Linked DNA regions of Caenorhabditis elegans. The protein of the gene in region 3 purifies or fractionates together with the protein of the main gene of each other region. This does not show direct contact. Each region holds a gene or a part of one and is shown on either strand. Other genes may lie near its edges.

Evidence for each region.
Region 1: the proteins of zfp-1 (region 3) and mcm-3 purify together in Caenorhabditis elegans (affinity purification with mass spectrometry, with the first as the bait; one study listed by BioGRID). This does not show direct contact.
Region 2: the proteins of zfp-1 (region 3) and gpd-4 purify together in Caenorhabditis elegans (affinity purification with mass spectrometry, with the first as the bait; one study listed by BioGRID). This does not show direct contact.
Region 4: the proteins of zfp-1 (region 3) and rfc-2 purify together in Caenorhabditis elegans (affinity purification with mass spectrometry, with the first as the bait; one study listed by BioGRID). This does not show direct contact.

What each region holds. Positions count from the first base shown.
Region 1 is NC_003283.11:15,056,179-15,061,150, reverse strand, and holds mcm-3 (DNA replication licensing factor MCM3), read left to right. Parts: upstream 1-1,551; 5' UTR 1,552-1,556; coding exon 1,557-1,765; intron 1,766-1,810; coding exon 1,811-1,903; intron 1,904-1,954; coding exon 1,955-3,319; intron 3,320-3,372; coding exon 3,373-4,025; intron 4,026-4,072; coding exon 4,073-4,191; 3' UTR 4,192-4,432; downstream 4,433-4,972. Other genes in the region: nssp-71 (neuronal small secreted protein), read right to left, coding at 22-135, 716-767; C25D7.16 (40S ribosomal protein S20), read right to left, coding at 4,433-4,639, 4,685-4,834.
Region 2 is NC_003280.10:10,169,294-10,173,036, forward strand, and holds gpd-4 (Glyceraldehyde-3-phosphate dehydrogenase 4), read left to right. Parts: upstream 1-1,974; 5' UTR 1,975-1,986; coding exon 1,987-2,509; intron 2,510-2,561; coding exon 2,562-2,994; intron 2,995-3,042; coding exon 3,043-3,112; 3' UTR 3,113-3,205; downstream 3,206-3,743. Other genes in the region: RFX-like transcription factor daf-19, read right to left, coding at 1-28; WW domain-binding protein wbp-11, read left to right, coding at 3,632-3,743.
Region 3 is NC_003281.10:8,796,748-8,801,410, forward strand, and holds the start of zfp-1 (Zinc finger protein zfp-1), read left to right. Parts: upstream 1-1,650; 5' UTR 1,651-1,717; intron 1,718-1,785; 5' UTR 1,786-1,807; coding exon 1,808-1,916; intron 1,917-2,111; coding exon 2,112-2,367; intron 2,368-2,647; coding exon 2,648-2,738; intron 2,739-2,785; exon of another isoform or gene 2,786-2,787; coding exon 2,788-2,898; intron 2,899-3,738; coding exon of another isoform or gene 3,739-3,954; intron 3,955-4,663. Other genes in the region: F54F2.6 (uncharacterized protein), read right to left, coding at 3,739-3,954. UniProt on the Caenorhabditis elegans protein: Recruits the histone methyltransferase dot-1.1 to chromatin to methylate 'Lys-79' of histone H3 and activate transcription. Recognizes and binds histone H3 methylated at 'Lys-4' (H3K4me) at the promoters of target genes.
Region 4 is NC_003282.8:1,345,660-1,353,335, forward strand, and holds rfc-2 (Replication factor C subunit 2), read left to right. Parts: upstream 1-1,654; 5' UTR 1,655-1,658; coding exon 1,659-1,805; intron 1,806-1,876; coding exon 1,877-1,983; intron 1,984-2,108; coding exon 2,109-2,232; intron 2,233-3,116; coding exon 3,117-3,195; intron 3,196-3,732; coding exon 3,733-3,908; intron 3,909-5,871; coding exon 5,872-6,126; intron 6,127-7,107; coding exon 7,108-7,224; 3' UTR 7,225-7,318; downstream 7,319-7,676.

The DNA.
Region 1 (4,972 bases), on a different chromosome or scaffold from region 3:
ATTTCCAGGCTTAAAACTCACATTTCTTCGGATTGTTCACTTTACAGTCGAACTTCATGCAGGTGTAGATGTTTCCCGGGCAGACTTGAGTGAACGCATTGAGAATACTATTTTGGACGAAGCATGTTGTGGATTCTGAAAAAAAGTCAATGTTCCAAAGCTCCAAGGTCTCGCCACGAAAGAAATATTTGCAAATCGTGAAAGGTACGCGCCTTTAAGCGGTACAGTAACGACTTTTTTTTTCAGATTTTTCGGTTTATTTTCAACTTAGTTTTCAAATAAACATTTTTGAACCCTGGAAAAACTGTACCTCTTAAAGGCGCACACCAAGCCCCTTAGATCAGATCTCGACACTACCCATTATTAAATTTGCAAAAGTGTTTGCGCCTTTGAAGAGTACGGTAGTTTCTAACTTTTCTCAGAACAGTTTTCTCCTGTTTTCTAAAAATTGTTTCATTCTCAAGTAATTTCACTTGTGTAATTATCATTTTTTGATACTTAAAAAACGGAAGAAAAAACTATAGCAACTAAATAAAGAAAACCCGGAAACAATCTGAATACTACAGTACTCCTTAAAGGTGCACACTCGTTTGAAGAATAGTAAGCTAATAGATTTTGTCTTAAAAAAGTCGTTTCGAGACCCGGTACAGTACTCTTGGAGGCAACACGTTCAAAATTTCGCCAGTCCTGTTATAAATCTAGATTCAATTCTCACCTGTCTCTGAAATCCAGAGTACCAGAATCGAGATTGCGAGTAGAAGTTTCATGGTTTCGTATTCGTATCGTATTGCGAATATAAAACGAAAAAGCACAGAAAAAATAGCTTTGTGAATGAATGAATGAGTGAAGGCCCGAGCGGCGGCGGGAGGGTCCGATAGATGTTGTTTCAAACGGTTTCCAATGGTTTCCAGCACGCGGTGCGCTCAAGTTTCTAGGAGACAAAGTCAAAGCACTTAAAGCTTTACGGCATAAATTTTGTGTATATGTGTGCTTTTGTGACCACTTTCTTCCCATTTCTATGTATAAATGTATTACGAAAGGTGCGTCCTGGGGGAGGCAGGGAGAAAATAAGAAAGATGGGATGAATAGAATGGAAAAGCATCTGTGTCTGTGAGTTTGTGAGTACTGAAACAATAGATTCCATTTTTGTGATTTGTTATGAAAAATTGAGGAGATTTTTGGAAGAGATCTTTTGCATAGATCACGGGCACAAATGTTATTGATGTTTTTTGAAACTTGAAATGACAATTTTGAACTGATAATTTCAGACAATTTTCATTTTATTCCAGGCATTTTTATTTAAATAAAATTATTTCGCTATTAATAGCTATTTAAAATAAACATGTTCAAACATCACTTTCAGGTGCATTGAGTGCAGCGTTGCGTCATGGTGTTTACGGAGCGAGCGCGCGAAACCTTGCTGTTTGAATGAGAAATGCGCGAATTTGGGCCGAATTTTTCTATTTTCCCCGCTCTTCTCCGTGCTTTCTAGTTTCTATTCGTTTATTTTTTAATTTTAAGTTTCTTTTGTTAAAAACATCTTATTTTCAGAAAAAATGGACGGACAAGCTGATGGAATGTTCATTGATCGTGCCGAGGATGCTCGAAAACAAGAAATCACGGAGCAGTATCTCAACTTTTTGGACAATCAAGCCGACACTTTTCACTATCGTCAGAAAATTGTGAAAATGATGAATGATGGAGAAAGTCGTTTGGTGATGAATCTCGATGAAATCAGGGAAATTCTACCAGAAAGAGCTGAAGGGTAATTAATAAAAAATAAAGAATTCCCGAGTATTAAAGTTTTCAGGCTATTGACCCAAAGCGTTCTTGAGATGAATTGCTTACAATCTGCACTTCAAATGGCTATTAATCGTAGTGATGTTCAAGCTGTTGTCAAAACGTGAGTAGCTTTTAAAAGCCGTTTTTGTTTTTAAACAATTTGTATTTTCAGTGGATTCCACGTCGGCTTTGAAGGAACTTTCGGAGAGCGCCACGTCAATCCACGTACTCTCAAATCATCATATCTTGGAAACCTTGTCTGCTGTGAGGGAATCGTCACAAAGTGTTCAACTGTTCGTCAAAAACTTCTCACTTCTGTCCACTATTGTCCAGCAACAAATAAAGTGCTCGAGAAGAAATTTGCCGATTTCACTATGCTCGACACTGCAGTCACCAATAACAACTATCCAACAGAAGATGAAAATAAGAATCCTCTTGAAACAGAATTCGGACATTCAGTTTACAAGGATCATCAAACGTTCACAATTCAAGAGCTTCCAGAATCCGCACCAGCCGGTCAACTTCCTCGGGCCGTCGATTGTGTTGCTGATCTTGATTTGGCAGATCGCGTCAAGCCTGGAGATCGTGTCCGCATCATTGGAGTCTTCCGTGTTCTGCCGAATAAGCAGAATGGAGTTTCGTCTGGATCCTTCCGTTCGATCATCATCATTAATCATATTCAAATGCTTTCAAAGGAGGTTATTCCAAACTTTGAGCCACAAGATGTTAAAGATGTTCGTAAAATTTCAAAGTCAAGAAACCCATTTGAGCTGCTCGCTCGGTCACTTGCTCCATCAATTTGCGGCCACGAAGAGACAAAGAAAGCGTTGCTCTGTTTGTTGCTAGGTGGAATGGAAAAGATTCTGAACAATGGTTCTCGTTTGAGGGGAGATATCAATGTTCTTCTCATCGGAGATCCATCTGTTGCCAAGTCTCAACTGCTTCGATATGTTCTTCGTATGGCCCCAAGAGCTATCACCACAACTGGACGTGGATCTTCGGGTGTTGGACTTACTGCTGCTGTTACTACTGATCCTGATTCGGGAGAACGTCGTCTTGAAGCTGGAGCAATGGTTCTCGCCGATCGTGGTGTCGTTTGTATTGATGAATTTGACAAGATGTCTGATATTGATAGAACTGCAATCCACGAAGTTATGGAACAGGGACGTGTCACAATTTCGAAGGCTGGAATCCACGCGAAGCTGAATGCTCGTTGCTCGGTTCTGGCTGCAGCAAATCCGGTGTACGGACGATACAATCCATTCAAATCTCCAATGGAAAACATCGGAATGCAAGATTCACTCCTCTCGCGTTTCGATTTGATCTTTGTACTTCTTGATGAGCATGATGCGGACAAGGACGCTAATGTCGCTGAACATGTGCTCAAGCTTCACACTTACAGAACCCAAGGTGAAGCCGATGGAACTGTTCTTCCGATGGGTGGAGGTGTTGAGACGATCAGTACAATCAATATGGAGACTAAGAAGGCGAGCAGCTCGATCTATGAGGAAAATACCCAATGGGCTGGTATTCAAGAGTGAGTTTCTTTTATAAAAAAACAATATAAATTAATTAATTTCTCTATTTCAGCACGAAAATCCTGACAATGGACTTCATGAGAAAGTACATCCATTTGGCAAGATCAGTTCAACCAAAACTCACCGATGAAGCTACTGAGTACATTTCTGAAGTATATGCCGATATTCGTTCATTTGATATCACCAAAACTGATCAAGAACGAACAATGCCTGTCACCGCTCGTCAACTCGAAACATTGATTCGTTTGTCAACTGCTATCGCGAAGGCAAGATTCTCGAAAAAAGTCGAACGAGAGGATACTGAGAAAGCTTACAATCTGCTCCACTTTGCCTGTTTCAAGGAGAAGCCAAAGGCTCGTCAAGAGTATGAGAAGAAGAAGCGAGCTCCACGAATTGATGGTGACGATGATGAGGATCAGAGCGATAACGAGGACATGGCAACATCGGAAGAGCCTCAATCTAGCTCCGTTCCGACTGCAGCCACCCCGCGTCGTGGAGTCAGAAGGCGTGCTGAAGATGATGATAGCCAGGATTCTATGATGGATACTACCATTGGAGAAAGTCAGCCAACTGCTAAGAAAGCACGTACTGGACCGGCTGCCATCGGAGTTGATCGTTATAAGGAGCTTCGGAAGTACGTCAGAAAGGCGTTCGACGACATTGGAAGCACCGACGATATGGTTGAACTTCAAATTATCACAGACAGTAAGCAAATGTTTCATTAAAAATGTTTATTACAAAAATGTTTTCAGGTGTTCAAACTCAAGCCGGATCACACAAGTTCACTGAGGATGAGCTGAAGGCTGGATACGAACAATTGGAAAACGATAACGCTGCAATGATTGCCGAAGATAAGATCACTCTCATCTAATTTCCTGCTGGAAGCTGGAACATAAGCCCCGTTTTCTTTTCGATCTCTCAATCAAATCATTATTTTATCCTTTTTTTCACCTGATTATCATTCCTATTTCATTTTAACTAGGGTCTCCTAATCCACTCACATTGATTTTACATTGCCTATTGTACTATGTTGTCTCTCTCTTTTCTCTTTATTCCTCCCCCTATTATATCTCTTTATCAATCGCGTAACCGGATAAAAGAAGTACTCTTGGTCATTGATTCTTTGTGGAGACTGTCTGAACGCCGGTCGACATGCGAGCCTTCTTTCCACGTTTCGCTGCCTTCTCCTGTCGATACTGAATTCCGGTACATCCGAGTCGATGGTCACCAACCAACGGAATGGTGTTCGCTTGAACCGCTTTGCAACGATTTGTGTCAGGGAATTCCATTGGCTTCAATTCGATTCTCACATGAATTTCCTGGAAAACAATTATTTGGAAAGGAATGAGAAAGTGGAAACATACCTCATTTTTCTTGAACAAAACTACATTCGTCTCTCGGATATTTCGAGTTTTTATTCCTTTCAGCGCCTCCAAAATTTTTTGCTCAATTGTTGGAATTTCATTCCAATTAACACGAATTTCAATCGATTGTTGAACGGAAGAAGACGTCATTTTTTAGATTCGAAGATATAGGAAATACATTTTTTTGGAACGATTTATTAGCTTTTTTTATTTTGAAATGTTTTTCAGCGTGAACAAAAAAATATAGAAACCCGCTTAATAAATATGAGAAATTAATTATTTTCGAAT
Region 2 (3,743 bases), on a different chromosome or scaffold from region 3:
TCGATGGCACCGGCTCCTCATTGGTCATGACTTTCTTCTCTGCCGCACCACCCCTGAAACTAGACATTTACAGAGAGAGACCCAGACGATGTTGCATTTAGTCTCTTGGATAATTTGGAAGTAGTTTCCATGGAAACCAAAATTGTAAAAGAAGCCGAGATGAAGCCGGAAAAGCAGCTAGAGAAAAGCAAAGGTGGCCTAGAGAGAGAGTTAGGGAGGGGGGAACGAAACTAAGTTGCTGCGTCGATAAAATATGTGCGGCAGCGGGGAGTGTCTCCTCGTTGCCTGGGGGAGTGTACGTGAGTGAGTGAGAGAGTGTCTGTCTGTGTGAGTGTGTGTGGTGCGAGTGTGTGTGTCTCAGTTGTGTGTGTGTTGTTGTGGGTGAAGAGATGGGACGAAAAGGAGATATGTGTGTGTGCCTAGGGCCCCTCTCAACAATGGAACATCACTTCTTCCCTGCTTCTCCTTCTTAAAAGTATTTCTTTAAGGGCCCCCGAGGTTGGGAAGAAGGTGGCTCGGCGCTTGCATAGGAACGGAAGCTGAAAACTAGGACATATTCCTCACAGACTGGCGAATCTGAAAAATAAATACCGTAACATGTATCAGTATCACAATAGTTTTTTTTTCAAATTTCAAGTATTTCAAGTAACATGAAACATTCAACATGTTTGAGAGTTAATAATATAATATACCTAGGTTACTTATTTTATTAAATTTCCTTCTTCAAACATACCTGTTAAAAACAATCAGACATCCCAAAAAAACTCTGAAATGTTCTGTCAAAGTCATGTTTAAAAGTTTGAAACTACAAAGATGTTGCAAGAATACGGTCTTGCAACGATCGGAAGTTTGTTACTGAAAGCTGTGAACCGCGACAATTAAGAACTATTGTAGTTACTTATTAAAAATGTACACTCTTTTTTGGAGAAACCGTTTAAAAATTCAAGGTCGTGTCGAGACCTGATACTGTATTTTTGCTTTATAAATTGTAATATTCTTAATCTGGATGATTAATACAGTTTACATATTACCGGAACACAAAATTCTAAAAATTCGTACTGTGCAACATATTTGACGCTTTAAATATCTCGTAGCGAGAACTACAGCTGTATACAGTAATTCTTTAAATGACTACTGTAGCGCTTGTGTCGATTTACGGGCTCGATTTATGAAATTAATTTAATTTCGAACAGCGACATTCTTTTTTCATTCGTTTCTCATTTTTTGCTTAATTTTAGTATTCTATAGATAAATAAATTATTTTAATCCATTCGAGCCCGTAAATAATATGCATTCTCAGAATTTTGTGTTCCCGTAATAAACTATGAGTTACAATTTTCGATTTCAAGACATACCGTACCCAAGTTTATCAGAGAGCGGCACAAAATCGGTTTTCCTGTTGAAAATAGCTAAAAATCAACAATTATTGTCTTATATCCATAGATATAAAACAATGCATATTATATTTATTTTTTTCTTCAGAAAAGAAACGAAAATATTTTATTTTCACATTTTTATATTCAGTTTTTGCATAGTTTTTCTTTTTTATTTCTAGATTACACTTAAAAGCTGATAAATTTAGTGTTATTCTCGATTTTTCGGAATAAAAATTCATTTTCAATAATTTTTGATCTTCTCTTTATTTTTGAAGAAAAATTATTGATTTTTTTCCACCAGAATTTTCAATTTTAAAGGGATGACCAAATTTAAAAACCACGGGTCTCGCAACGAATATGAAAAATATTTTTGCGCTTTGCAGACGCGCACGAGCGGCAAGTTTTCAATTTTCTGCAGTTGTTCACCAATCTAGATTTCTTTTTCATCATTTATTCTCTTTTTCTTCCCGATGCGGTTGATTTTGCTTTGCTCTCTTTGCTTCAATCTGAATTTTCGCCATTTTTATTCAGATTTGTTCCTTCTTAAGCTATTACTTCTTGTGAATCTTCCGTCAAAATTTCATTCAAGTTTTCTTACAGACTCAAAAAAATGTCGAAAGCCAACGTCGGAATCAACGGTTTCGGAAGAATCGGACGTCTCGTGCTCCGCGCGGCTGTCGAAAAGGACACGGTTCAAGTGGTCGCCGTCAACGATCCGTTTATCACAATCGACTACATGGTCTACCTTTTCAAGTATGACTCGACCCACGGTCAATTCAAAGGAACTGTTACCTACGATGGAGACTTTCTGATTGTCCAGAAAGATGGCAAATCATCGCACAAGATCAAGGTCTTCAACAGCAAGGATCCAGCTGCCATCGCATGGGGATCAGTCAAAGCCGATTTCGTTGTCGAGTCTACTGGAGTTTTCACGACAAAGGAAAAGGCCTCTGCCCATCTTCAAGGAGGAGCCAAGAAGGTCATCATCTCTGCTCCATCTGCTGATGCTCCAATGTACGTGGTTGGAGTAAACCATGAGAAGTACGACGCTTCGAATGATCACGTTATTTCTAACGCATCGTGCACCACCAACTGTCTGGCACCACTGGCGAAGGTTATCAATGATAACTTCGGTATGATCATCATCAAATCAATTTGTTTTTTTCTAATTTATTTTATTTTCAGGTATCATCGAAGGACTCATGACGACAGTGCACGCTGTAACCGCAACCCAGAAGACAGTCGATGGACCATCCGGAAAGCTGTGGAGAGATGGACGCGGTGCTGGACAAAACATCATTCCAGCTTCCACTGGAGCCGCCAAGGCTGTGGGAAAAGTCATTCCGGAGCTGAACGGAAAGCTCACTGGAATGGCTTTCCGTGTCCCTACACCAGATGTTTCCGTCGTTGATCTGACCGTTCGCCTCGAGAAACCAGCTTCGATGGATGACATCAAGAAGGTAGTCAAGGCCGCTGCCGATGGACCAATGAAGGGAATCCTCGCCTACACCGAAGATCAAGTTGTGTCGACTGACTTCGTGTCCGACCCTCACTCGTCCATTTTCGATACTGGAGCATGCATTTCGCTCAACCCGAACTTCGTCAAGCTCGTCTCTTGGTAACCACTGAATTTTTAAAAAATGTATTTTAAATTTATTTTTTACAGGTACGACAATGAATATGGATACTCGAACCGTGTTGTCGACCTCATCGGATACATCGCCACCCGTGGATAATTCTATCAGGATCTTTTATGTATAATCCATGTATTTCATAGCTATTTTTTTTATTACAGTCATCATTGAATAAACCTATTTTTCTGGTGAAATCTAGTACTTTTGTCGTGATTTTAGAAAAAGATTGAAATGACTTCTAAAGTGAATGTCTATTGGAATTCGAGACCTAACCTTTAAATTTAAAGTTGCTTCGCATTTTGATGGTGCGAACGTGGACTATTGATAGTGTTTTGTGGTGCGTTGCGGGCTAAACCGCGACGCCTCTGACGATCTTGCACCCAAATAAATTAAACGTATTTTTCTGATTAAAATTAACATTTCGTCTAGAAAAGCTAATTTTGCACTCATTTGAAAATAATAGCATCTTTCTTTTTTTTAATGAATCCATTTCACATCCATTATCTGATACAAATTTTATTCTAGATGTTTTTCCTAAAGCTCCTCATTTTTCGAATATCTGTATTTAATTCGTTTTTTATTTCCAGAACAGCTGTCCTAAATCATGTTTTTTTTTCAGAAATGCCGTCCATCAGTAAAACGAAAAGCGGGGAGCGCTATCGAGCGCCTACCGATCAAGCTCGTAAAATGGATCGAAAAAAGGAAAACAAGAGAAACAAAAAAGACAGGCAGC
Region 3 (4,663 bases):
TTAAATTAAATTTATAACTGTTCCCCAAGTGGTTTTAAAAAATCAATAAAATGATTTCTTGACTATCGTAATCCTTCGTGACCCCTCTGTAGAGATTTTCTTGTGTTATGCAAGTACCCCATCGTAAATTTTCTTTTCTCGATACCCGAAGTATATCCGATCACATCTGTGTCTATGATGATACTGATTACTTTTCCATTTATATTTATCACCTTGACCGTTAATTTTCAATATTTAATTTTTCAATGACAATACAATGTTAATTTTTATAAGGTTATGTGGTAGAAAATGTTAGGCGAGGTTTAGAGAAAAATATAAAAGTTTATTAACTTTATTTCGCCCTTGGACGATTTTTTAAGCATCCAAATGACTCTTTTCATTTAAATTTTTATATTTTCCGATCCGTATATTATTTTCTTTTCAACTAATTTTATTAAAACATACGGCTATATGAAATAAAGCACTGGAACGCAGAAAGTTAGAGAGAAAAGGAGCAAAGCTTCCCCTTCTTGTTTGTATGTATGTGCTCCTTGTGTGCATGTGACATAGAAGAGCCGACGTCGCTGCGCCCCTGTGAGAATTCATGCATGCTTGGCACGATGCCAAGTTGTATGTGTCTATCTTCACCTCCTTTTTCTTCTTCTTCTCGATTGCTTCTCCCTCTCTTCCAAACGAGAACGTGATGTCGGTCTCTCCTACTGTAGGCTACTAGTTGTCTGTGTCTAATACTCTCTCATTGTCAAAGACTTCAAATCGGGAAGATTGTGATGGTGGTTTGGTGACGAGAGAGAGATAGAGAGAGAGAGAGAAAGACACTGACGATGTCGTCGTTATCAGTGTATTTCTTCTTCTTCCTTTTCTTCCATACACAATCTGTAATTCTCTGTCGTTCTCTCAATTTGATTATCACTATTAAATGTATATTCATTCATTCACGCCCATAACTTTTTTGACTTGACTGAATCGAAAATCGAATCGATGGCCGCTCCCCGATAATAAGAAGGAGAGAGAAAAGAGAGACGCTGCAAAAATTTTTTGTCTTTGAATGACCTCTATTCGTCGTATTGATTGACTGCTGCCGTTTGTCTTTTGTGACGAAATTTTGTACAGTTCCATTTTCTTTTATTTCAAAAATTGAGAGAAAAATATCTAATGCTCGGCGTTAAATTTTCAATGAAAAATTTGTTCACTCAAATTGGCCCGAAAAGTCCGAAATTCATAACGAAACTTTTCAATAATTCCTCAAACTTTTTTATAGCAGTTTTACCTAAAATTCTAAATTTTGAAGAATTAGCCTTTATGCAAAATTTTGAATGGCCATAAAAGATTTTTCAATGAATTTCTGAAGAGTTTCGTAATTTGATATTTGATATTTTCAAATGGATTTTTAGTGTATTTTATAAAGCAAAACATTCTTCAATTTATTTTGTTTTCCGAATCTAATATTTAAATATCTCTATGAAACTTTAATACTATTTTTGATACGCATTCAATTATAGATAATTGTTAAACGTTCTTTTTTCTCCGAAATTAGGTTATTTCTATTTGTTCTGTTTCTTTATTTGTCGCTCGGCCATAATAAATCAATAATTTACGGCAATATACCTCTAATCTCCCCTTTTCTGCGTAATTTTTACCGAATTTTTACAGCACATCACCATACAAATGAGCCACGCCTGACCTCTTGACCAGCTACAGTAACCCAAAAAAAATTATCGTAAGTTTTTTCGAATTTTTGTGGAAAATTTGTGAATTGTATTCTCAAATGGATAATTATTTTTACAGAGTCCCCCGAAATTGCTGAAAAATGAAGGAGATGGTAGGTGGATGCTGCGTTTGTGCAGATGAGAATGGTTGGACAGACAATCCATTGATCTATTGTGATGGAGAGAATTGTGAAGTTGCAGTACATCAGGGTGAGTAGAAGTTCACAGAAATTGAAAAATTTTAGTATTTTTCCCGATATTTCGAAAAAAAATCCAACGTTTCCAAGCATTGTTTGAAGTTTTGCTTTTTTCCATCTTATTAGATGAATTTGATTTTTTTTTTTCGATTTTCTCTCAAAAAACCAAATTTTCCGATTAGGCCCCACCGAATTTTTATCATTTCAGGATGTTATGGAATTCAAGAAGTACCCGAAGGCGAATGGTTTTGTGCAAAATGTACGAAAGCATCAGCTATGATGCCCGGCAGTATAAATGAGGCAACATTTTGTTGTCAATTGTGTCCGTTTGACTATGGAGCATTGAAAAAAACTGATCGAAACGGATGGGCTCATGTAATTTGTGCACTTTACATTCCAGAAGTGCGATTTGGGAACGTACATAGTATGGAACCAGTCATATTAAATGATGTACCAACTGATAAGTAAGTTTTTCTCAAGAATATGGGTAATTCAATATGAAAAATGTGTCTGATCAAGGGTGAATATTTTTTGAGTTTTCGACTTTCGATTTTTTGACTCTCTGGAAAATCTCAAATTTTAAAAATTTCCGGTACATTTCTGAACCGAAATTTTTTTTCCAGTTTTTCGATTTTTCGACTTTCAAAAAAAAAACAACAACAAAAAATCTAAACATTTTAAACTCTTTCTTTGAAAAAATCTTGAAGTTTTATTACTATCTCGATCAATTTATATATTTTATAGATTCAATAAACTGTGCTACATCTGCAATGAAGAACGTCCAAATGATGCGAAAAAAGGTGCATGTATGTCGTGTAACAAGTCGACGTGCAAGGTATTTTTATTTTTCTTTAAATTTCTTGTAATTTAAACGAAATTTTCAGAGGAGCTTTCACGTAACCTGTGCTCAGCGGAAAGGACTTTTATGTGAAGAAGGGGCAATAAGTCGGAATGTCAAGTATTGTGGTTATTGTGAAAATCATTTGAAGAAAGCGGTATGTTTATTGAAGATTTATGCGCTAAAAATTGAGAAAAAAGTATTAAAATCGATTTCTTAATATTTTAAGAAAATCAGGCCAGATTATCACTTGGTTTTTCATAGAAGTGAAAATAAAAATAGAACTACAGTACCCATCAATTTCAAATATTTAATCCCTAGTCATACTGGTGCTGTGAAGGTCCGATGCTTGATAGACCAGGTGGATAGACACCTGTCTCTTGAAAAACTAGAGATTGTACGGAGTATTAGAGATTCAGAGAAGTAAAAATATGAATACAATCGTGTGTGCCCGCTTCTTCTCTGCATCTCTTCTCAGGATACTCTATTTCTGAGTCACAGCATTGGGACCCTGGAATAGCAACACAGCCATTGCGCTTCACTCTTAGAGTGAAAGAGATAGAGATGGAGAAAGAGACGTCCTCCGTCCTGTTTTCATATCTGCGTCTAAAATCTCTTTATCCTGAGAAAAAGAAACCGAAAGAGAGGTTGAGAGAGAGAGGGAGACATTGTCGAAGGAGGTCCGCGTGCTTCCACATACACATACACACACCATCCATTCAACACAACACACTTGAGAAGATGGAATAGACGAGAGAAGAGAGTACAGACGTTTAGACGAAATGAAATGGGTTGGGCCAACGGCTGGCTGGATGGATGGCTGACTGAGTGTGACAACGACAAATAGTGCTCGGGGGGGGGGGGGGCACTGAGAGAGATAGACGAAGAACTCGGAGAGACATAGACACAAAAAGGAACAAATTGCTGTCGGGCCAAGCGAGTTTGGAAGAGAAAGAGACGTGCATAGAGTGTCTCTCTCTCTCTCAATTTCATAAGCTTAGATGATTCTCTGCGTCTGCTCTTCGCCGCCCCTTCTGGACTTCTTTTTCTCGGGTGGCCCCCGGCGGCCGTTGTTTCGTCTGCGCTTCTTATTTTCCTCTTTATCGTCATCGTCGTATTCCTCGCTTTGTCCTGCTTTTTCGTTTTCTCCGTCCGTACGCACACATACATACACACGCACATAGTGAGGCAACATCATTCTCTTGTGCTTCATTTGGTTCTTCTTCGACGAATACTCGATAGATTTGAATATAGTCGTCGCCACGTCATACTCTACATTTTCCTGCTACATCATCCTTGCATCTCCCCACTTTCTCACTTGTTACGGTTTTTGCTTAACTCTCTACGTCTCTACTCACTCTCTCACCTACTTTCCTCTTCTCGTTGTGTTTGATGTCACCTTTCTCATCGTCTTCCGTCAATGGAGTTTTTTTGTCGCCAAAGAGAGACATTCACTCATTTTCTCTTCCGTCTCCCTGAAGTAGTTCTATGTTCTTTTTTTTTTTTTTCTAGACTTTGTCATTTAACATTTTTGTTTTACATTTTGGTACATTCACAGAATTATTTCTAAATCTAAATTAAACTTTTGATCTTGAAAGTAGGCCTATCATATAGGCCTCACCGCCTGCCTGCCTCACCTTAAGACGATCTTCGCCTGTTTCCAACTAAGTTGAATGTCTTGATTGTTCTCGGGGGTTGTCAAATTTTTGATGTTATTCTAATTCACCTAATTTAAATTAAACGGTAACAAATATCATAAAACCCTTTAGTTTTTTTTGAAAAAGTCTAATAATCTTTATTAGTTCTTTTTACTAATGAGGACGCTGCAAATTTTTGTTTTTTTTTTCAAAATTCAGCACAAACTTTTCCAAAACACTGAGCAATGTTTTGTTCCGTCTCTTTTCAATATCTAAGTCTCCCTT
Region 4 (7,676 bases), on a different chromosome or scaffold from region 3:
GGTCTCGCCACGATGGGTCTCACCACGATGGGTCTTTCCACGATGGGTCTCACCACGGTGGGTCTCGCCACGATGGGTCTCGCCACGATGGCTCTCGCCACGAAGATCTCGCAGCAACATTTTTTTAATTTTCCAGAAGGTTCTAGAACAATCCAGAATTTTTTCGAATTTTCCAGAAGGTTCTGGAACATTCCAGAATTTTCTAGAATTTTCCAGAAGGTTCTAAAGCTTTTCAGAATTTTCCAGAAGGTTCTGGAACATTCTAGAATTTTCCAGAAATTCCCAGAAGGTTCTGGAACATTTCAGAATTTTCCAGAAGTTTCCAATTTCCCTTCCAAAGACGGAAAGTCAATTTTTCATAAACTACCGTAATCCTACCGTACTCCTACAGTACTCCTACAGTACTATTACAGTACCCCGACCATATTCCACTACTAACCGCAAACCTATATCTCTTCAAAAGACAAAAACACAATTTTTCATAAACTACAGTAATCCTACAGTACTCCTACAGTACCTCTACAGTACTACTACAGTACCCCGACCATATCCCACCTCTAACCCCAAACCTATATCTCTTCAAAAGACAAAAACACAATTTTTCATAAACTACAGTGATCCTACAGTACTAATACAGTACTCCTACAGTACTAATACAGTACCCCGCCCATATTCCTCTACTAACCACAAACTAATATCCCTCCAACAGCCGAAAACACCTTGCCTTTGTAAGCTATGACGTCACTTGTTAACAAACGGACACTATTTTTTTATATATAGGTAATGATTAATTATTAATTATTAATTATTAATTATTTATTTATTTATTTATTTATTTCAAAAAAACTTTTTTCGATGTCAGGAGTCCTGACTCAGGACAAGTCGTCGTCGGAAGAAGAAGACTTGGAATGCTCACTCCGAAGGTTCCATGGCTGTCCATCGCACGTACTGACCGTGAAAAAAAATGGAATGAGTTTATCCTCTTCGCAACTTGAACCCAACGGACATCAAAGTATCAAAGTAAAGTAAGTAAGAGCTCGAGCCCAGATGCTCGAGCTTGAGCCTAAATGCTCAATCTCGAGCCCAAATGCTCGAGCTCGAGCCCATATGCTCTATCTCCAACGCGAAAAAAGTTGTAGCTGTTAAAAGTCCATGAAGTGCATCCACTTGCCACGAGAAGTGAGAATCAGCCCGAAGCCGCCACAGTCGTACATATTTTCTTTATTTAAACCGGTCAGATACACTGATAGTATTATATTTAACATATTTCTATCTGCAAAAATGCTCTTCTGCCCAGAATTCTTCTGATTCCATTTAATTCTTGCTAGAAATCGCTGAAAAAACAGCTCGTATTTACAATTTTTTGTAATTTCCGACTTCCCATTTTATCAATTTTACTATTTCTGTGAAAAAAATTCGAAATTTCGTTCAAAAATAGCGATTCTGGCTCAATTTCATGAATATCTGTTGTTTTTTTTGGCAAAAGTGGCCGCGGCCGAGGAGGAAACCTTGTCCCCGCTCGGTGTACTCCTCTCGGATAATATTTGTTTTTTGAATTTTAAGCGCGCCAAACTGATTTTCTTTGTCATTCCATGAATTTTCGTCACGTTTTTCGAGTTTTGTATCGAATTCTTATCAAATTTTCAATATTTCCAGCTATGTCAAAGTCGGAAAAGCAACAATTAGCGCCATGGGTGGAGAAATATCGTCCAAAAGTGCTCGCCGATATTGTCGGCAACGAGAACATTGTCGAGCGGCTCAAAGTGATCGGACACGAGGGAAATGTGCCGAATATTGTTTTGTCGGTGAGAAGATTGTTGAAAAATTCATTTTAAAAGTCAAAATGTGAAGTGAAAAATCGAATTTTTCCGTTCAGGGTCCCCCAGGCTGCGGAAAAACGACATCAGTGTGGGCGTTGGCTCGAGAATTGCTCGGCGATAAGGTTAAGGAAGCGGTGCTCGAGTTGAATGCGTCGGACGAGAGGTTTGTGAGAAAAAACCCTGAATAACTGGGAAAAATTGCAAAAAAATTGACTTTTTCGCTAAAAACTTTGAAAAAATTGAATTTTTCTCAAAAAAAAAATCTCAAAAAACTGCCAATATTTCCAGAGGAATCGATGTGGTCCGTCATCGTATCAAAACGTTCGCCCAGACGAAGGTGACACTTCCAGAAGGCCGTCACAAGATTATCATACTGGACGAGGCCGATTCGATGACCGATGGTGCACAGCAGGTGCGGAATTTTGCCGAAAAACTTGGAAATTTGAATTCAGCTCAACGAGAGCTTTGATTTAAGTATGAACATGACTAGGCTGCGATAATTTTGGAAATAAATCTGAAAGTTTTAGGCTTAGGCTTTTAGGCTTAGGCTCAGGCTTTAGCTTAGGCTCAGGCCTTGACTTTGGATTAGGTTTAGGCCTAGGCCTAGGCTTAGGCTCAGGCTTAGACTTAAACGTAGGCGGGATTTTTTTAAGTAAAAAAAGCCGAAAAGTGAGTGTTTTTAGTAGATTTTTCAGTTTTTTTTTGACAAAATCTAGATAAAATCGGAATTTTCTGACGAAAATATCAAAGTTCCGCAATTTTTGAGCTTTTTGCAATGAAATTGGTACAAATTTCGAATTTTTTTTAAATGAAAAATGCCATAAATTAAATGGTCAAAAATCCGGAATTTCTAGCGTTTTCCGAGACAATTTGCGATTTTTTTAAAGAGAAAATGTCAAATATCAGAAAATTGCCCGTTTTTTCCACAAAAAAAACCGAGAAAAATGGTAACTTTGCACACACAATTTCACTTATTTTTTCAGGAAAATTTACACGATAATTAATCAAAATTTTCGTGTTTTTTTTTTTGAAATTGAGCCAGTTTGGATGTCAATCTACCAGTTTTTCTGCGAGGAATTCGATTTTTTCCAATGAAAATCCCCCCAAAAAATGCAATTTTCATCCGAAAAAACCTCCTAAACTCGAAAAATTAGTCCCCCGCCACGATGATTAAAAAATTTCCAATTTTTTCGAAATTTTCGGAACCCAGTCATGATTATACTTAAATGAAAGCTCTCAACGAGCTCAATACGAATTTTGCATTGAATTTCCAAAAAAAAAAAACCAAATTTTCAGGCTCTCCGCCGCACAATGGAGATGTACACAAAGACGACAAGATTTGCGTTGGCCTGCAATCAATCCGAGAAGATTATTGGTACATATTAGGGACGGCAAACGATTTTACCGGCAAATCGGCATATTGCCGGAATTGAAATTTCTGGCGAATTGCCGGAATTGAAATTTCCGGCAAATTGGCATATTGCTGGTTTTGAAAATTTCTAGCAAATCGACAAATTGCCGGAATTCAAATTCCTAGCAAATCGGCAAATTGCCGGAATTGAAATTTCTGGCAAATTGGCAAATTGCCGGAATCGAAATTTCTGGCAAATTGACAAATTGCCGGAATTGTAATTTCTGGCAAATTGGCAAATTGCCGGAATTGAAATTTCTGGCAAATCGACATATTGCCGGAATTAAAATTTCTGGCAAATTGGCAAATTGCCGGAATTGAAATTTCTGGCAAATTGGCAAATTGCCGGAATTGAAATTTCTGGCAAATTGGCAAACCGGCGATTTTCCGATTTGCCGAATTTGCTGACAAAAAATTTCCGAACGGCACTTGCCGTCCACACTAATACAGATCTCGGCCTGGAAACTCCCCAAAAAATCGATCGATTTTTGCCCCTTTCAGAGCCCATTCAATCCCGTTGTGCCCTGCTCCGCTACACAAAATTGAGCCCCGTACAGCTGTTGACACGTGTCAAGGAGGTTGCAAAAGCCGAGAAGGTCAACTATGACGACGGGGGTCTTGAAGCGATTCTGTTCACTGCACAGGGTGATATGCGACAGGCGTTGAACAATTTACAGGTAGAAAATCCGGGAAAAGGCTGAATTTTGAGCTGAAAACGCTGGAAAAAATTGCGAAAATTCACAATTTTCTAGACCAGAATTTTTACAATGTATGTGCTTAAAAGTAGTGAAAAACCGGAAATTTTAGCTAATTTAGTTGGAATTTGGCGTTTTCCGTAAAAAAGGTGAAAAAAATCATATTTTTAAAGGATTTTTTTTCACTAAAAATTGACCTTTTCCAAATTTTCTTCAGTGAAAATCTAAAAATGTTATTAATCTCAAAAATTCCAAAATAAAATCCAAAAAAAAAAATTCAAAAAATTTTAGGAAACTTTTTAAAAATTTCAAAAAAAAATCCTAAAAATTTCACAACAATCCCAAAAAATTCCAGATAATTCCAAAAAAAAAAAAAACTTTAAAAAAATTTCCAAAAAAGATTTCCAAAAAAGATTTCCAGGAAAACTTGGCCATCCTTCCGAACTCCATAATTTTATTTTCAAAATTTTGAAAAATTGGTCTAAAAATATAAAATTTCGCTGAATGTTCTTTTTTCCTTGAAAATCTCAAAAAGTTTCATGAAAATTGGATTTCGTACCATTTTTTTATTTAAACATTTTTTTTTGTTGATTTCACCAGTTTTTTACATTTTGCAACAAAAAAACTTAGAATTTTTCCTAAAATTGAAATTTTCATTAAAATTTTCTCATTTTTTCAGTGAAAATCATGAAATTTCATCAAAATATTGAAATTTTTTACATTTTTCAGTTAATTTTTTTTTTCGATAAAGGACATCTAAAAAAGGGGTATTTTAACAATTTTTTCCCCACAAAAATTGCAAAAATGCCGATTTCCAGTATAATTAAGTGGAAATTTCATGAAAATGTGACTTGTGTGTTTCTCTATCCGAATTGATGGTTTGAATAGTGGTATTCTCGGCTGAAATATGCAATAAATACCGTATTCCAACCAACAATTCGGTGCAATAGAGCACATTTGTCACTGGAGATGCGGAAGCTATGCCCAATTTTTCAATTTTTTTTAGTAAAAATCTGAAAATTTAAACAAAAATTGCGTTTCAAAACAAATTTTCCATTTTTGGGCTGAAAACTTGTAGAAAATTTAGAAAAAGTCTTATTTTCAAGTAAAAACTATGTAAAATATGCAATTTTCCGGCTAAAAAAAAGTAAAATGTTCCGATTTTCCAGGCAACAGTGAACGCTTACGAGCTTTGCCGAGATTTTCAATTATTTTTCACGTCGATCCTCATATCTTCTCAATGTTTTTTTTTCAAATTTTTTTTTCAAATGAACCCGATTCTTGTACAGAATATGTAGTTTTGGGTCTCGCAGCGAAATTGCGCGTTTTATTAATTATTTTTATTGCACTTTAAACATATTTATAGATGGATTTTCCTCGGAACTTTAGCAATTTCATCCCAGTTGCCGAGAAATGCTAAAAATTTGGGTACGGCAACTCGGCAATTGCACACTTTTTGAATTTTTCAATTTTTGATGCAAAAAATTAATTTTCTTGGATTTTTCAAATTTTGCTCAAATCCCTGCTAAAAATTCGAAGATTTTTTAGCCTTTTCTAGTTTTTGCCGAGGAATGCTATAAATTTTGGCTCGGCACCTCGGTAACTGAACTAAATTTCCCTATATATTGTCTGTGACTTGTGTGTTTCTCTATCCGAATTGATGGTTTGAATAGTGGTATTCTCGGCTGAAATATGCAATAAATACCGTATTCCAACCAACAATTTGTGCAATAGAGCACATTTGTCACTGGAGATGCGGAAGCTATGCCCAATTTTTTTTTAGTAAAAATCTGCTGAAAATTTAAACAAAAATTGCGTTTCAAAACAAATTTTCCATTTTTGGGCTGAAAACTTGTAGAAAATTTAGAATGTCTTATTTTCAATTAAAAACTATGTAAAATATGCAATTTTCCGGCTAAAAAAGTAAAATGTTCCGATTTTCCAGGCAACAGTGAACGCTTACGAGCTTGTGAACAAGGAAAATGTGCTGAAAGTCTGTGATGAGCCACACCCGGACCTTATGATCAAAATGCTCCATTACTGTACGGATCGCAAATTCTTCGAGGCATCCAAGATTATTCACGAGTTTCATCGGCTTGGCTTCTCCTCAGACGATATTGTATCAACGTTGTTCCGTGTGGTAAAGACTGTCGAGCTGTCGAAAAATGTGTCCGAACAGCTGAGAATGGAGTATATTCGGGTGAGAAAATGGGTGGAAAATGAGCCAAAATGAGCGGCTAAAAGCCGCCCGGGGTGTTCTGAAAATTGTCAAAAATCCGCGTTTTTTGGAGCTTTGTTTTGCCGAAAAACGCGAAATTTCGTTGTTAGATCATCGGAATATCTAAATTTCGGCCTTTGTGGCTGAAAATTGCCGAAAACCACCGGATTTTAGGGATTGGTAGCCTAAAATTGGCGAAAATCGTGAATTTCGAAGACTAGTTGCCGGAAATTGCCGAATTTTAGTTTTTGGTTACCGGAAATTGAGTCCGGCAACTCGGCAACTGAACTGAATTTCCAATTGAAATTTCCGGCCAACCGTAAAATTGCCGGAAATGAAAATTTGCGGCAACTCGGCAATTTGCCGGAATCGAAAGTTTCCGGCAAATCGGCAATTTGTCGGAATTGAAATTTCCGGCAAAACGGCAAAATGGTGGAATTGAAAATTTTCGTCCAATTGGCAAACTGCCAAAAATAAAAAATAAAATTTCCGCCACATTGCCGGAATTGAATTTTGAGGCAAAATGGGAAAATAGCGGAATTCAAAAATTTCCGGCAAATCGGCAAATTGCCGGAATTGAAATTTCCAGCAAAACGGAAAATTGCCAAAAATCAAAATTTCCGGCAAATCGGCAAGTTGCCGGTATTGAAAATATCCGGCCGATCGGCAAGTTACCGGAAATAAAAATTTCCGGATAATCGGTAAATTGCCGAAATTGAAATTTCCGGCAAATTGGCAACTGAATTGAATTTCCCGGTATATTGTCTGTGACTTGTGTGTTTCTCTATCCGAATTGATGGTTTGAATAGTGGTATTCTCGGCTGAAATATGCAATAAATACCGTATTCCAACCAACAATTTGTGCAATAGAGCACATTTGTCACTGGAGATGCGGAAGCTATGCCCAAATTTTAATTTTTTAGCCCAAAACCATTAAAAAAAAACAACGAAACAATTTTTCAGCAAATCGCCATGTGCCATATGCGTATCGTGCAGGGACTCACTTCGAAACTTCAACTCTCCCGTCTGATTGCCGATCTGTGCCGAGTTTCAGCAGCGGCAACGGCTACGAGTGCCTAAAATTGTTGCCGAGATTTTCAATTATTTTTCACGTCGATCCTCATATCTTCTCAATTTTTTTTTTCAAAATTTCAAATGAACCCGATTCTTGTACAGAATATGTAGTTTTGGGTCTCGCAGCGAAATTGCGCGTTTTATTAATTATTTTTATTGCACTTTAAACATATTTATAGATGGATTTTCCTCGGAACTTTAGCAATTTCATCCCAGTTGCCGAGAAATGCTAAAAATTTGGGTACGGCAACTCGGCAATTGCACACTTTTTGAATTTTTCAATTTTTTGATGCAAAAAATTAATTTTCTTGGATTTTTCAAATTTTGCTCAAATCCCTGCTAAAAATTCGAAGATTTTTTAGCCTTTTCCGGTTTTTTCCGGAATTCCAGTTTTTGCCGAGGAATGCTATAAATTTTGGCTCGCCACCTCGGCAACTGAACTGAATTTCCCTATATAG